2 linked regions of the Arabidopsis thaliana genome follow. The protein of the gene in region 1 interacts with the protein of each later gene in a pairwise test. Each region holds a gene or a part of one and is shown on either strand. Other genes may lie near its edges.

Region 1 (4,577 bases):
CTCCCACCACCATTCTCGACACCATCGCCACCATGCTTTAATAACTAATAAAGAGATATTTATCAATATTTCATGGTATACAATAAAATCGCATAAATTCTTGCAATTATGTTCTATATATTTCATGCTATTCAACAAAATCACATGAAATCTTGTAATTATGTTTTATATAATTTCATGAGATTCAACAAAATTGCGTGAATTTTTATAATAATGTCCAGATTTCTCAATATACCATGTTATTCGATAAAATTGAGTGAAATTTTTCACAACAATGTTCATATTTGGCAATATATCATGCTATTCACCATAATCACATTCATTTTTGCAATAATGCCTCCTCAACCGCCGTACAACTTCTCTGCTGCCTATTGTTCTCTAATTCTGATAAAACGTAAAAAGGGTTATTTGGTCAATGTCCCTCTTCTAAAAAGTGGGTCCATGGTTAGTTTCTAATAGAAAAGAAGTCCAACGTTATTTTCTTAATTATTTTATAGTCAAAGGTTATTCATTAATATTACCCTACTATCTTTTGTGAAAAAGAGTTCTCTCACGAGATTCATAACTTAGAAAAATATGAACTAAGACACTTGAAAGAACAAATACAATAATCTTCAGTTTGGCTAAGAGCCTTTAGAATGAAAGGTGTTTTGCATCGAGAGTGACACTGGGAGCATAGCTGTCGTGTAGTATCTTTGGTAGGAACCACTTCAAATGTGTATATTATAGTCTCGAATATGGATCCTGCGATGAAGCGTGAGAAATCCCCAAAAACACAGTCAATATGGAATGTGACCACACAATCATCGCATGTGTAGAACCACTTACTTGGATCCATTTCCGTCTCGCAAATATCACAACAATATTTACCACTTGCCTTTTCACCATAACATAGGGAGAGAGGATGTCTATCGTATTTGTGCTTAAGTGTCTTTGGCAAATTTGCACAACAAAAATCCAAACTAAAGTCACAAACATCACAACCAAGCATGTTATAAGACAGCTTATGACATGAATCACACTTGGTACTGGCTTCTTCTTTGTAATATAAGGGATGTACATGGCCATCATGGACGAACGGTTCGGAAACGGAACTGCAATGTACATCAAGCATTAAATCATCAGAGATGTACCTGAAACCAGTCGATTGTTTTCCACAAGCGTCACATGAGAACCAATCTATTTGGAGATCTTTTCCTCTAGCATGTAGGGTAAATGGTCTGTTGTATATTAAGTGGCGTCTCTTCATAGGCAGATGTGCACATTTTTCATGAAGGAAAAAAGTACATTGATCGCAACAATATATCGAACCAGAGTTGCGAGGAAAGATGCATGCTTCACATCGGCTACTTTCATCATAAATAATGTCTTCATTGGTAAGCCTTAGATTATGTTTCTCGTGGCTGAAATGATTTATCAGGTTATCACCAACCACCTTAAACGGAAGATCTTCAGCTTCTTCTGGTATCCCTTCAAGTTCTATCCCATCCCAAACGTTGTAACTTGTTGCACATTGCGAATGAACAACATATTTGGGGCAAATGAAGCCCCATGAAACTGATTCACTGGTCGACGACAAACTCCGCAATCCGAATACCCTGGGCCAATATGGTTAGTGAGAGTTATGCGATGAACATGCCGATTAATGATTATGACATGCGGTAAGCCAATACAACTTCGATGGACCATAACATCACATTGAAGACATAAATAAGAGACTTGGCCGTCTTCATGCATCCCACAAACATTACAAGTAAATGAGATTCGTCTCGATAAGAGGGTAAGATGATGCTCATGGGTATTGGAATGCTCAATAACAAGAGGTGGAGGGCTTCTCACACAGTTTAGGCACATGCTGAAGTCACATATTAAGCAGTAATACATCACAATTTCCGATCTCACTCCACACAAAACACATGCTTTTTCGGCATCATCAGGGAGGGATTTAGATATGGTGAGCTCAAGAGGGTGATTAGGGTGAAAAGGAAGGTTTACTTTTTTCTCATGATATATACACTCCAAATGAGCATACTGATCCCGAGAAGGTAGTGAATAATAATATTTACCAGCAACAACTGAGTGCCCACATACTCCACAACAATTGTATATTCCACTTATCTTTGGAAAGACAAATGGTAGGTCTTGAAAATCATGAGTAGGTGGCGGTGGTGGTTTCCGCGCACATGATGTGTCGACGTTGAAGTCACATATGGAACAATGATAAAAATACGGCACATCAGCTAAGTGATGAATGCCGCATATATCACATTCATATCTTGGAGGCCTCTCTGTAAGCCGGAGAGGATGTTCCGGGTGAGAAGGGTGGTTGATTTCAAGTGGTGACTCGGCGCATTCCTTGTGAAACAGAACACGATTGCAGTCAGAATCATTACATCGATAGCCTCCATAGTATTCACCTTGGTTTCGAAAACTGCAGCCTTCACACCGATCATGAAATCGAAAGGAAAGGGACAAAGGATGTATGTGAATAGGTAGTTTTATCGATAATATAGCCATGGCTCCTTAGGCGAAGCTTTTGATGTCTTGTTTTTGTGTTGTTTTTCTTGTCTTTTTTTTTGGTTTATGAATTGTTGTGATCTCTATCGAAGTGCGTATATGAAGTTCTTGAAAATATATTTTACAACCAGTTGTTGAAGTGGCTTCATCATCTACTCAGCACACCATACAACTAAAATTTCTTTAAGATATCAATAGTTAAATCTTATCGCGTGATGATTATTGCTAGTTGTTATTTTTAATGCCTAAATTATTATTGCTTATTAGTCACAAAGTGGCATTATGTGGTTTATATATATATAGTAATCAAATAGATACCATTCCATTCAATTAGCAACAAAAAGAGAACTACTTCACCTATTAAAATGGTAGTTGAATTATTGGTTTAACGATTTTCGGACAACAAAGTATTGATTGTTTAAGACCAACTAGGAATTATTTGAGTCATTATATATTAAGTTTGGTCAAAATATTAGGCCAGTCTTATAATAATATCATTAATTAAAGCGTTTGAGAATTTTAAAGTCAAGTCTCAACCCATTGATAGTAGCCGGAGACGAGACGAGGCCATTGAATATTCACACTTCATTTGAGTACAATAATTAATGTGAATGTGTCGGAGGTTTTGAGATGTAACAGTGCAAGTTCATTAAATTTTTTTTAAGATTTGACATGTAATTAATCATGTAATGTATTTGTGTTTAAAAGCATACTTAAGCTAATAGCTTCACTACTACCACAAAACAACTTATATCATCACTGAGTACAAGGAACAAAACTTTTCGAGGTTGTTGCTGATATGTCCTAAAACATTGCATTTACTAATGGCCAATCGTAGGAAACAGTAAGGAAAGAGCTGTGCTTACAATTTTCTTACGAAATTTGTTTGAAGAAAAGCAAAAATGGTTAAAACTTTCGTGAGACTTTTCCTACAAAACAAATTGGTAAAGAATTTCGTAGGAAACTGTGGTATAAGTGAAAAAAAAAATTTGATCGATTTCCTACCAACTATTTTAATAACAATATTTAATAATTAATGTGCTAACATAATTGTGAGACCTTAAATATTAATGTGATTCGTTTTAGCTTTACCAAAAAAACATATTTCATATGATAATGATACTCATATTTAAATTTGACACACCAAACACTAATCTCATAGGAGAATAACAATGACTATTCCGATCAAAATCTGTCTCCAAAGAGTGCGAGAATCCAAATAGCGTAAAACGTGTTCAAGATCTCTCGAGCCAGCCCTGCAACGAACTCAATCAAGGCACTCATTCTTCGACTCACTTTCTTTGATTTACTATGGTTAAAACTCCATCCCATATAGCGAGTCACATTTTACAAACTCACTGAGTCATCATCTTACTACTCCTTCTCCTATATCCTCCCAAAGCTCAAGCAATCTCTTTCTCTCGTCCTCACACACTTTCTCCTACTCTCCGGTCACCTTAAAAGTTAAAAGGAAGCCACAAGATCCTAAACCATAGTGACAATTTTAATACTAATAAACTAGGTTTTAACCCGCGGTTTACCGCGGGCAATCGGTTTATTTGGTTCTTATACTAAATATATGAATAAATTTGATATCTTAAACTTATAAATATAAATTTCTAATGATTAGTGAAGAATTGTAATATATGATTTGGATATTATTGATTATTGACTTCATGATTGAATATAGTGTTTTTAGGGATGGATTGTGATCATATTTTGATTTCAAAAACGATATAGATTTCTTATTTTTGTTGAACGGTTTAGATTGAAGGGAATTAATTTTATTGAACGGTTTAAATTGAATCGGATCATATAAAGTTTAGGAGATTGTTAAGACCAAATTACCCTTAATGATTTTGAATAGCAAAGAACAAAATCCAAAATTGAAATCAAAATTGAGGCCAAATTAGACAAAATTTCAATTTGTACTTCCCTTTTAATAATAAAGGGATTATTAATTTTAAGTACACACTTTGTTGGTAATTTATTTAAATTTTCTAGGCACAAATTTTTGTTAAACAAATAACTAAAAAATAATATTATGTTTATCATCATTG
Region 2 (6,805 bases), on another chromosome or scaffold:
AAGGTACATTATGTGAAATCAAAAGACAAATATCCGGATCATGATTTTTTATTTTTTTAATGTAATGTTAAATTAGATTCAAAAGAAAATTAACGTTTTTACAGCAAGTGCAACGTAAGTTATATCAGAGGTAAAATGAAAGCTGAGATTAACATTGTAATGAAAACTTAGAGGATTAAAAGCCGACTTTGGAGCCAGCATTGGGAGCCAGCATTGGAAGCTAGCATCATAGCGCCGGTCCTTTTGTCTTAGGATTGTAGTGATCCTGTTTCTTATTATCATGATTCATGTATCTGCATAATGATTAAATGTAGCTTTAGGAATGGTTAAGACTCCTTTCATTAGCTACTTTATTAAGGCAACCAAGCAACAAAAACACCAATAGATGAGGAAAATAGAGAGCATGTGAAGGCAACATCCAAACCCAATATATAGAGTTGAAAAACAGATTCACTATTAAGTAATCAAAGACTAGAATGGAAAACAAACATCAAAATCTAAAAGAATATAATAGATAATAATTAGTGAGCTCATGTTGATTATAGGGAAATAAGCGTTTGTAGCCATCTTGGGCGTGTCCATCAAGGTATATGAGATATGAGTTTTGATACTTGGAAGAAAAAAAGAGAGAGTATAATAATAATTGATGAGATAAAATAGTTTTTTAAATTTTGTAACTCTTAAATAATGATTTTTTAATAGAATAATTGATAAACGGGAACTTATTCACAGAAGCATATGTTAAAAGACGACTGATAATAACTACCATAGATGTTATTTCTGTTAGATATTCATCAAATAGCAAATTATCCTTATTTTAAATTGTAATTATTTAAATTTATGATCTAATAAATTTAAACCGAATTTAATAAATATCATAGTTTACACATGAATGAAGGCATTTGTATACTTACTTATGTGTTTTATATGTTGTTGATTTACGTATTATTATTTTTTTTGTATATTTACTAATCTACAAAAAAATGAACACAAAAATTTACAGCAGCGACAACGTCAGCGTCAGCCAAGCCTGCCCTTGGCACAAACCCAAGATACATGGGTATTGGACCTCCAAAATGTTTAAGTTTTTAAATAACAAAATTATGTTTCCAAAAAAAATTGTTATTGCAAAATCAGATCTTATGTTTCTAAATTTTTAATATTTAGTCTCAATTTGTAAGTTTATCTATTTGTTATTGCAAAAATAAGCTTTATTTTACCAAAATTTTAAAATTTGATCTCGAATTTACTTTTTATCGACAAAATTCATCAAAAAAAAATTTTGAATGAACTTTTCTGAAACATCTTCACTCTACTATGTTTCTGGTCACCGAATCCAATGCCCTCTTACCTGAATATAGCTTCACACTCTCATTTCATCTCATTCCAAACTCGTTTGGTAACCCGTTTTGCCAAAATCGCAACACAGACCAAGAATAATACATTGTGCGAAAAACCAACTTTGAGAGCAAATTCCTATCAAACCACAATGAATCAGAGGAATATATTTATATCCTTAGAAAGATCTCATTTCCAAGATTCCAGAAAATCTTTCAATGCTCAAATCAGACTTCTATAGCCAAGTCAAACGAAGGTGACAAAGTCAGACAAACACCACTTCACCAAACAGCAGCTTCTTTAAGTCTGCTCAAAAATTATGTTTGTCGATAAACTTCATAGGCCAATAACATTTAGCCACGTATGGGTCCCTTAAATATCAAAAAATCCCTTTCATAAAGAGCGTCCTTATCTATTTTGGTATTTTTCATTTAATTTTGGGCCTCTGGAAGAGTCTGCCACACAAAAAAAACCCATAAAGACTTGCCGTTACAACTGCTCTAACCGGCACTCGCCGTCAACGTATTAAAAACATACACAAAGACTACGTCAACGACTACGGTAACAAAACAAACAATAATCTACGGTAGTGTTTGTTGCTGCCGCTGCCGCTGCGACGAAACGAACAAACTAGTTTCCAATTAAGTGAGGAATGGAATGACAAATGAATAATCAGCGTTAGTCAAAGTATGAAAGAGTAGACTTTAACAAGATCCAAGATCCGAGATCCGAGATAATACCCACTCTGGATCCGACCCATTTCATTCACCTCTTTCTTAAGTCCTCAAACTTCAATTTCAATTCAGATCGTTGAGCAACAATGGACTCATCAGAGATCGAAGTAGTGCCTCTAGATTCCAACTCTCACCAAAGCCCTACCGAATCACCAACCATCACCGACGTCTTCTCCGCCTCCGCTTACGGCGATCTCCACCAACTTAAACATTTCGTCGAACATAATGGCTCTTCCGTCTCACTTCCCGACGATAATGGCTTCTACGCTCTTCAATGGGCGGCACTCAACAATTCCCTCCACGTTGCTCAATATATCATCCAGGTACCAATTTCTCGATAATACTGTGATAGTTCTCCGGTGTAGTGATTGATTTGGATTTGAACTATCTGCAGCATGGTGGTGATGTTAATTCAGCTGATAATATACAACAGACACCATTGCATTGGGCAGCTGTTAAAGGCTCCATTGATGTTGCTGACCTTTTACTTCAACATGGAGCTCGTATTGAAGCTGTTGATGTCAATGGCTTCAGGGTAATATCTTCTTTCTGTTGTAATTTTTGTGTTTTTGTTTGCTAAAGGTGTGTGAAATGGATCAGGAGTTATAAGTTTTGCATCAGGCTTGTTGCTGCTGTGATCATAGGCTTCAGATTCTTGTAAGATTTTGTCGATCTACGACATGTTTTGTTGTGCAGGCAGTTCATGTTGCTTCTCAATATGGACAAACAGCATTCGTGAATCATATTATTGTGGACTATGCAGCTGACTATAACGCACTAGATATTGAAGGGAGGAGTCCGCTACACTGGTATGGATACTAGAGATATTAATGGATGCTTAGAGTGTGTATTCTTTAGTTGTACATAGTATCTCTGTTACTTATCATTTGACAATTTGTGGAGAACTACTGTGAACTCTATATTTTTCATGTTTGTATGACTCAGGGCTGCTTACAATGGATTCACAGAAACAGTCCGGTTACTTCTCTTTCGGGACGCATGTCAAAATAGACAAGATAACACAGGCAAATCAGAAACTCTTAAAACTTTCTTTTAACTGTATTTACTTGTCTGCTCTATAATTAATAAAGAATGGCTTACATCGGAATTTTTTCTGTACCTTATGATGCGTAAAGATAAGTGCAAAAACGGATAAGAGATTATGAACTCTGATTTTTGAGTGTTTGTTTATGGAGGGATTGTTATAGCATTCCAGACTGTTAATGACTTGCGAAAAGTGTAGAATGCTGATACCCTGATATATATTTTGCACTATTTTCTTAGAAATTCTTACATTAATCACTTTGCTTGCCAGGCTGCACGCCTTTGCACTGGGCTGTGATTAAGGAAAACGTTGAGGCTTGTACGCTGCTAGTTCATGCTGGAACCAAGGAGGAACTGATATTGAAAGATAACACTGGATCCACGCCACTTAAGCTTGCTTCTGATAAAGGTCACAGGCAGCTCGCTCTTTTCCTTGTACGTAATGTTTAGTGTTGCTTGCTACCCTTCTAACATCCGTAAAGAGGAACATATCTTGATTATTCACAATTAGCTTCTTCAAATTTGATTTGTGGATCCGACATTTGCTTGCTGGCTCGCTCCTTAAAATCAAAGTCTCCTTCATATTTCATTTTCATCATCATTAAATGGACAGGAATAGGTTAATAAGGCTATTTAAAAAATGTTTCATGCAAAATACCCTTTCAAAGTTCTGTAAATTTGTATTTACAATTTACAAACAGACAAACATATGAAAAAACAATAGCATTGAATATATGAAAGTTTGATGTAAATATGGTTATAAGTTTACAGTTACTAGATAAGCCTTAAACGCAGAAAAGACGGCAGCTTTGTGATATTTGCTTTTTCTTATGCAGCTCTAACCCAGAATTTTTTCTCAGTATCCTTAGATGAACTGGCTCTGATTTTCAGATATAGTTAAGCATCATTCTGGTAGAGAACTTGTTTCTACGGTCTGTTTCAGTTTTAGGGTGTAGATGTAAGAGCGACAATATGATAGCGGTCTGTTTTAGGGTTACTGTAGGGTTTAGAGTTCACAGGATGAGGTATGCCTTGTTTAATGGTTGTAGAGTATGTTCAATGTTGTTTGCCCCGGTTTTTTTTAGTTTTTCTTAAAATTTTAATCATTTGATATGATGTGCTTTCTGAGAATCCGATTTTAATATTTTTCAGTCGAAGGCAATGCGAACTCGTAAGAATAGTTTTGTGGACAAGATCTTCTGTGGAAAACTGGGAGAGACTAGCTATGCTCCTATGTTGTTCAGCTTAATAGTCATTCTTATGGTCCTCTTCATCACATCCATTGTTTCAGGTGAATAACGCATACAACAAAATAGTGTGTGTGTGTTGAGGTTCTTACTAATGGATTTATATTATTTCGTCCTGACATTTTGCATTCATGTGTAGCTTCTAATCTCCCAAAGATAACTGCTATGGTTGGTCTGTGGGCATGTTTCGGTCTTTCATGTGGTGTTTACGCACTGATAACTTTCTATCGTGTTAGCAGGTATCCTTATTAGTCATCTTCAATTTATCTGAAGTTTTTGTGCATATTAGTTTGATGTACTTACTTAATGAGTCAGCGAGAACTAATCTTACTTCTTCATAAGAAATGAGGAGGTTGAGATGTGAGGCTGTAACTACTTTGTAGTGACTCTGAGAGAGGTGTATGTGGTGTAATGGTCTTGGAGTGATTAATTCGTCTCTTTTTTTTTTATAGGAAAGATCCCGGGTACGTTAAAAGAACCGGTGAAGCTAACAGCCAACACACTGCCAACGTAAGTTGAACTTTCTTCCCATGTTTCCATGATGAGAGAAATGTGAACATTCGTCTAGCAGATTGGCAATCCGTCTAAATTGGGTTCATGCATATATATACGAAATCAATGCGCAGTTGTTAATTGTTTAAGCTTTTCGTCTTGATCATGCTGAACTATGCCTGATTTAAGTAGACACCGACTTTAGATCAATTGAACAGTCGTAAGGTTTGTTCTGAAAGGTTTGATTCACATATTATCTTCTGATGTTTGCAGGACCCTTTGATTGATATCAATTTCAAAAACCCCTCATGGAAAGGAAACTGGTCCCAACTCTGCCCCACTTGCAAGGTTTTCCTCAATCCTTATTTCAGGGGATTACCTCGATATTTTCTTTGTTTTCTAACTACAATTATCATTTTTTCTTCAGATAATTAGACCGGTGCGATCTAAGCACTGCCCCACTTGTAAGCGCTGCGTTGAACAGTTTGACCATCACTGCCCCTGGATTTCCAACTGTGTTGGTAAGGTAAGAATCTCTTTCACTTGTTGCTCTGCTAATTAAAGTGGCAAGGATATAGTAATGACATGAAACACCCTGTTATGCATATTGTTTTGGTTAACGGTATCTTGATACACTTACTCATTTCACAGAAGAATAAACGCTACTTCTTAGTCTTTGTGATCATGGGAGCTTTAACATCATTCGTTGGTGGCACAACTGCTGTTCAAAGTATGTGACTGGAACAACTCTCTCTCGCAATCCTGCCATTAGATTTGACTATTAGTAAGCATCTGTTTTTGCTACAGGATTATGGAGAGGTATCCCACAGGTACACCACGGAGAATCATGGATTAAACATATAGTCATTGAACACCCTGATGCTGCCGTGTTTCTGTTTTTCGACTTACTCATTTTCATTGCGACTATGACATTGACAATCTCACAGTCTTATATGGTAAGGAAGTCTCAGCTAAAGTAAAAATTTGGTTCTCCCTCCCCTCTGCAAATGATTGTATAACAGTTATTGTTGGTTGTCTGGTGCAGATAGCTCGGAATATTACAACCAACGAATTATGGAACGCGAAGAGATTCAGTTATTTGCGGGGACCTGACGGAAGATTCTACAACCCTTATAACCACGGCTTGCGAAGAAACTGCACCGATTTTTTGGTTCATGGCTACACCAGGGACGACGAGGTTGTCCCGTCTTCAATTCTCTGAATTTACATCTCCTCATCGCATTGTTACATGCATAAACCCTCTGATTTAGTATACTGTGTATATATATATCTCCTCTTCGATTCATATATTGCAAAGTAAGGTTCAAGTTTCTTCTCCTTTACTTGACACACCTCTTGCACTCTGTAAATCTTTTCCTTTATCACTTACCAGTTTCACCATTATGCTACTCAACACCCATAGTCTCCAATCCTCTTGATAAAAGGATTTTTATTTGACTCATATGTTTTTACCGCTGGTTTTTGTTGGGGATTTCTGCATTTAAACGGTTCAAAAAGGCCATGGTTCTAAGGTATTCGTTAGAGTCCCATTCATTGGTTACATTGGTGCTTATAGTCCGGGTTTCAAAACACTGCACCTATGTCATTGTCTTTTTCATTTGGGTATAAACGTCCATGGAAATAACATTCGGTTTCGCGTTAACAACTAACTCTGAATGTGATATTTACTTTGCAGCAACAAACTTGAAAATATGAACAAAGGTCCCAAAGAAATGAACAAAATGAGCAGCTTTCATTCCATCAAATACTTCATCCCATAAGTGCTTTCATCTTTTCATTGGCAACCACGAGTTCCGCTGATATTCCTGGCTCATTTGCCGAGTGCCCAGCATCATAAACAATCTGCAGACCGTTGGTCGCATTACGACAATAAGCAAAACTAAACTTAGGAAAGATCTTGAAGAAATCTTGGAAAAGATTTTAAACTTA

What was found. Proteins that work in one complex are often made in the same cells at the same time.
Region 2: the proteins of AT3G45840 (region 1) and AT2G14255 interact in a protein complementation assay, tested with the Arabidopsis thaliana proteins (one large-scale study listed by BioGRID).

Annotation. Positions count from the first base shown.
Region 1 is NC_003074.8:16,847,371-16,851,947, forward strand, and holds AT3G45840 (Cysteine/Histidine-rich C1 domain family protein), read right to left. Parts: upstream 2,575-4,577; 5' UTR 2,518-2,574; coding exon 1,819-2,517; intron 1,728-1,818; coding exon 1,657-1,727; intron 1,566-1,656; coding exon 560-1,565; 3' UTR 534-559; downstream 1-533.
Region 2 is NC_003071.7:6,034,816-6,041,620, forward strand, and holds AT2G14255 (Ankyrin repeat family protein with DHHC zinc finger domain-containing protein), read left to right. Parts: upstream 1-1,988; 5' UTR 1,989-2,158; coding exon 2,159-2,395; intron 2,396-2,466; coding exon 2,467-2,607; intron 2,608-2,768; coding exon 2,769-2,881; intron 2,882-3,017; coding exon 3,018-3,097; intron 3,098-3,387; coding exon 3,388-3,551; intron 3,552-4,268; coding exon 4,269-4,407; intron 4,408-4,502; coding exon 4,503-4,602; intron 4,603-4,815; coding exon 4,816-4,873; intron 4,874-5,128; coding exon 5,129-5,203; intron 5,204-5,282; coding exon 5,283-5,381; intron 5,382-5,506; coding exon 5,507-5,585; intron 5,586-5,662; coding exon 5,663-5,811; intron 5,812-5,900; coding exon 5,901-6,077; 3' UTR 6,078-6,282; downstream 6,283-6,805. Other genes in the region: PIP (proline iminopeptidase), read right to left, coding at 6,626-6,718. UniProt on the Arabidopsis thaliana protein: Palmitoyl acyltransferase.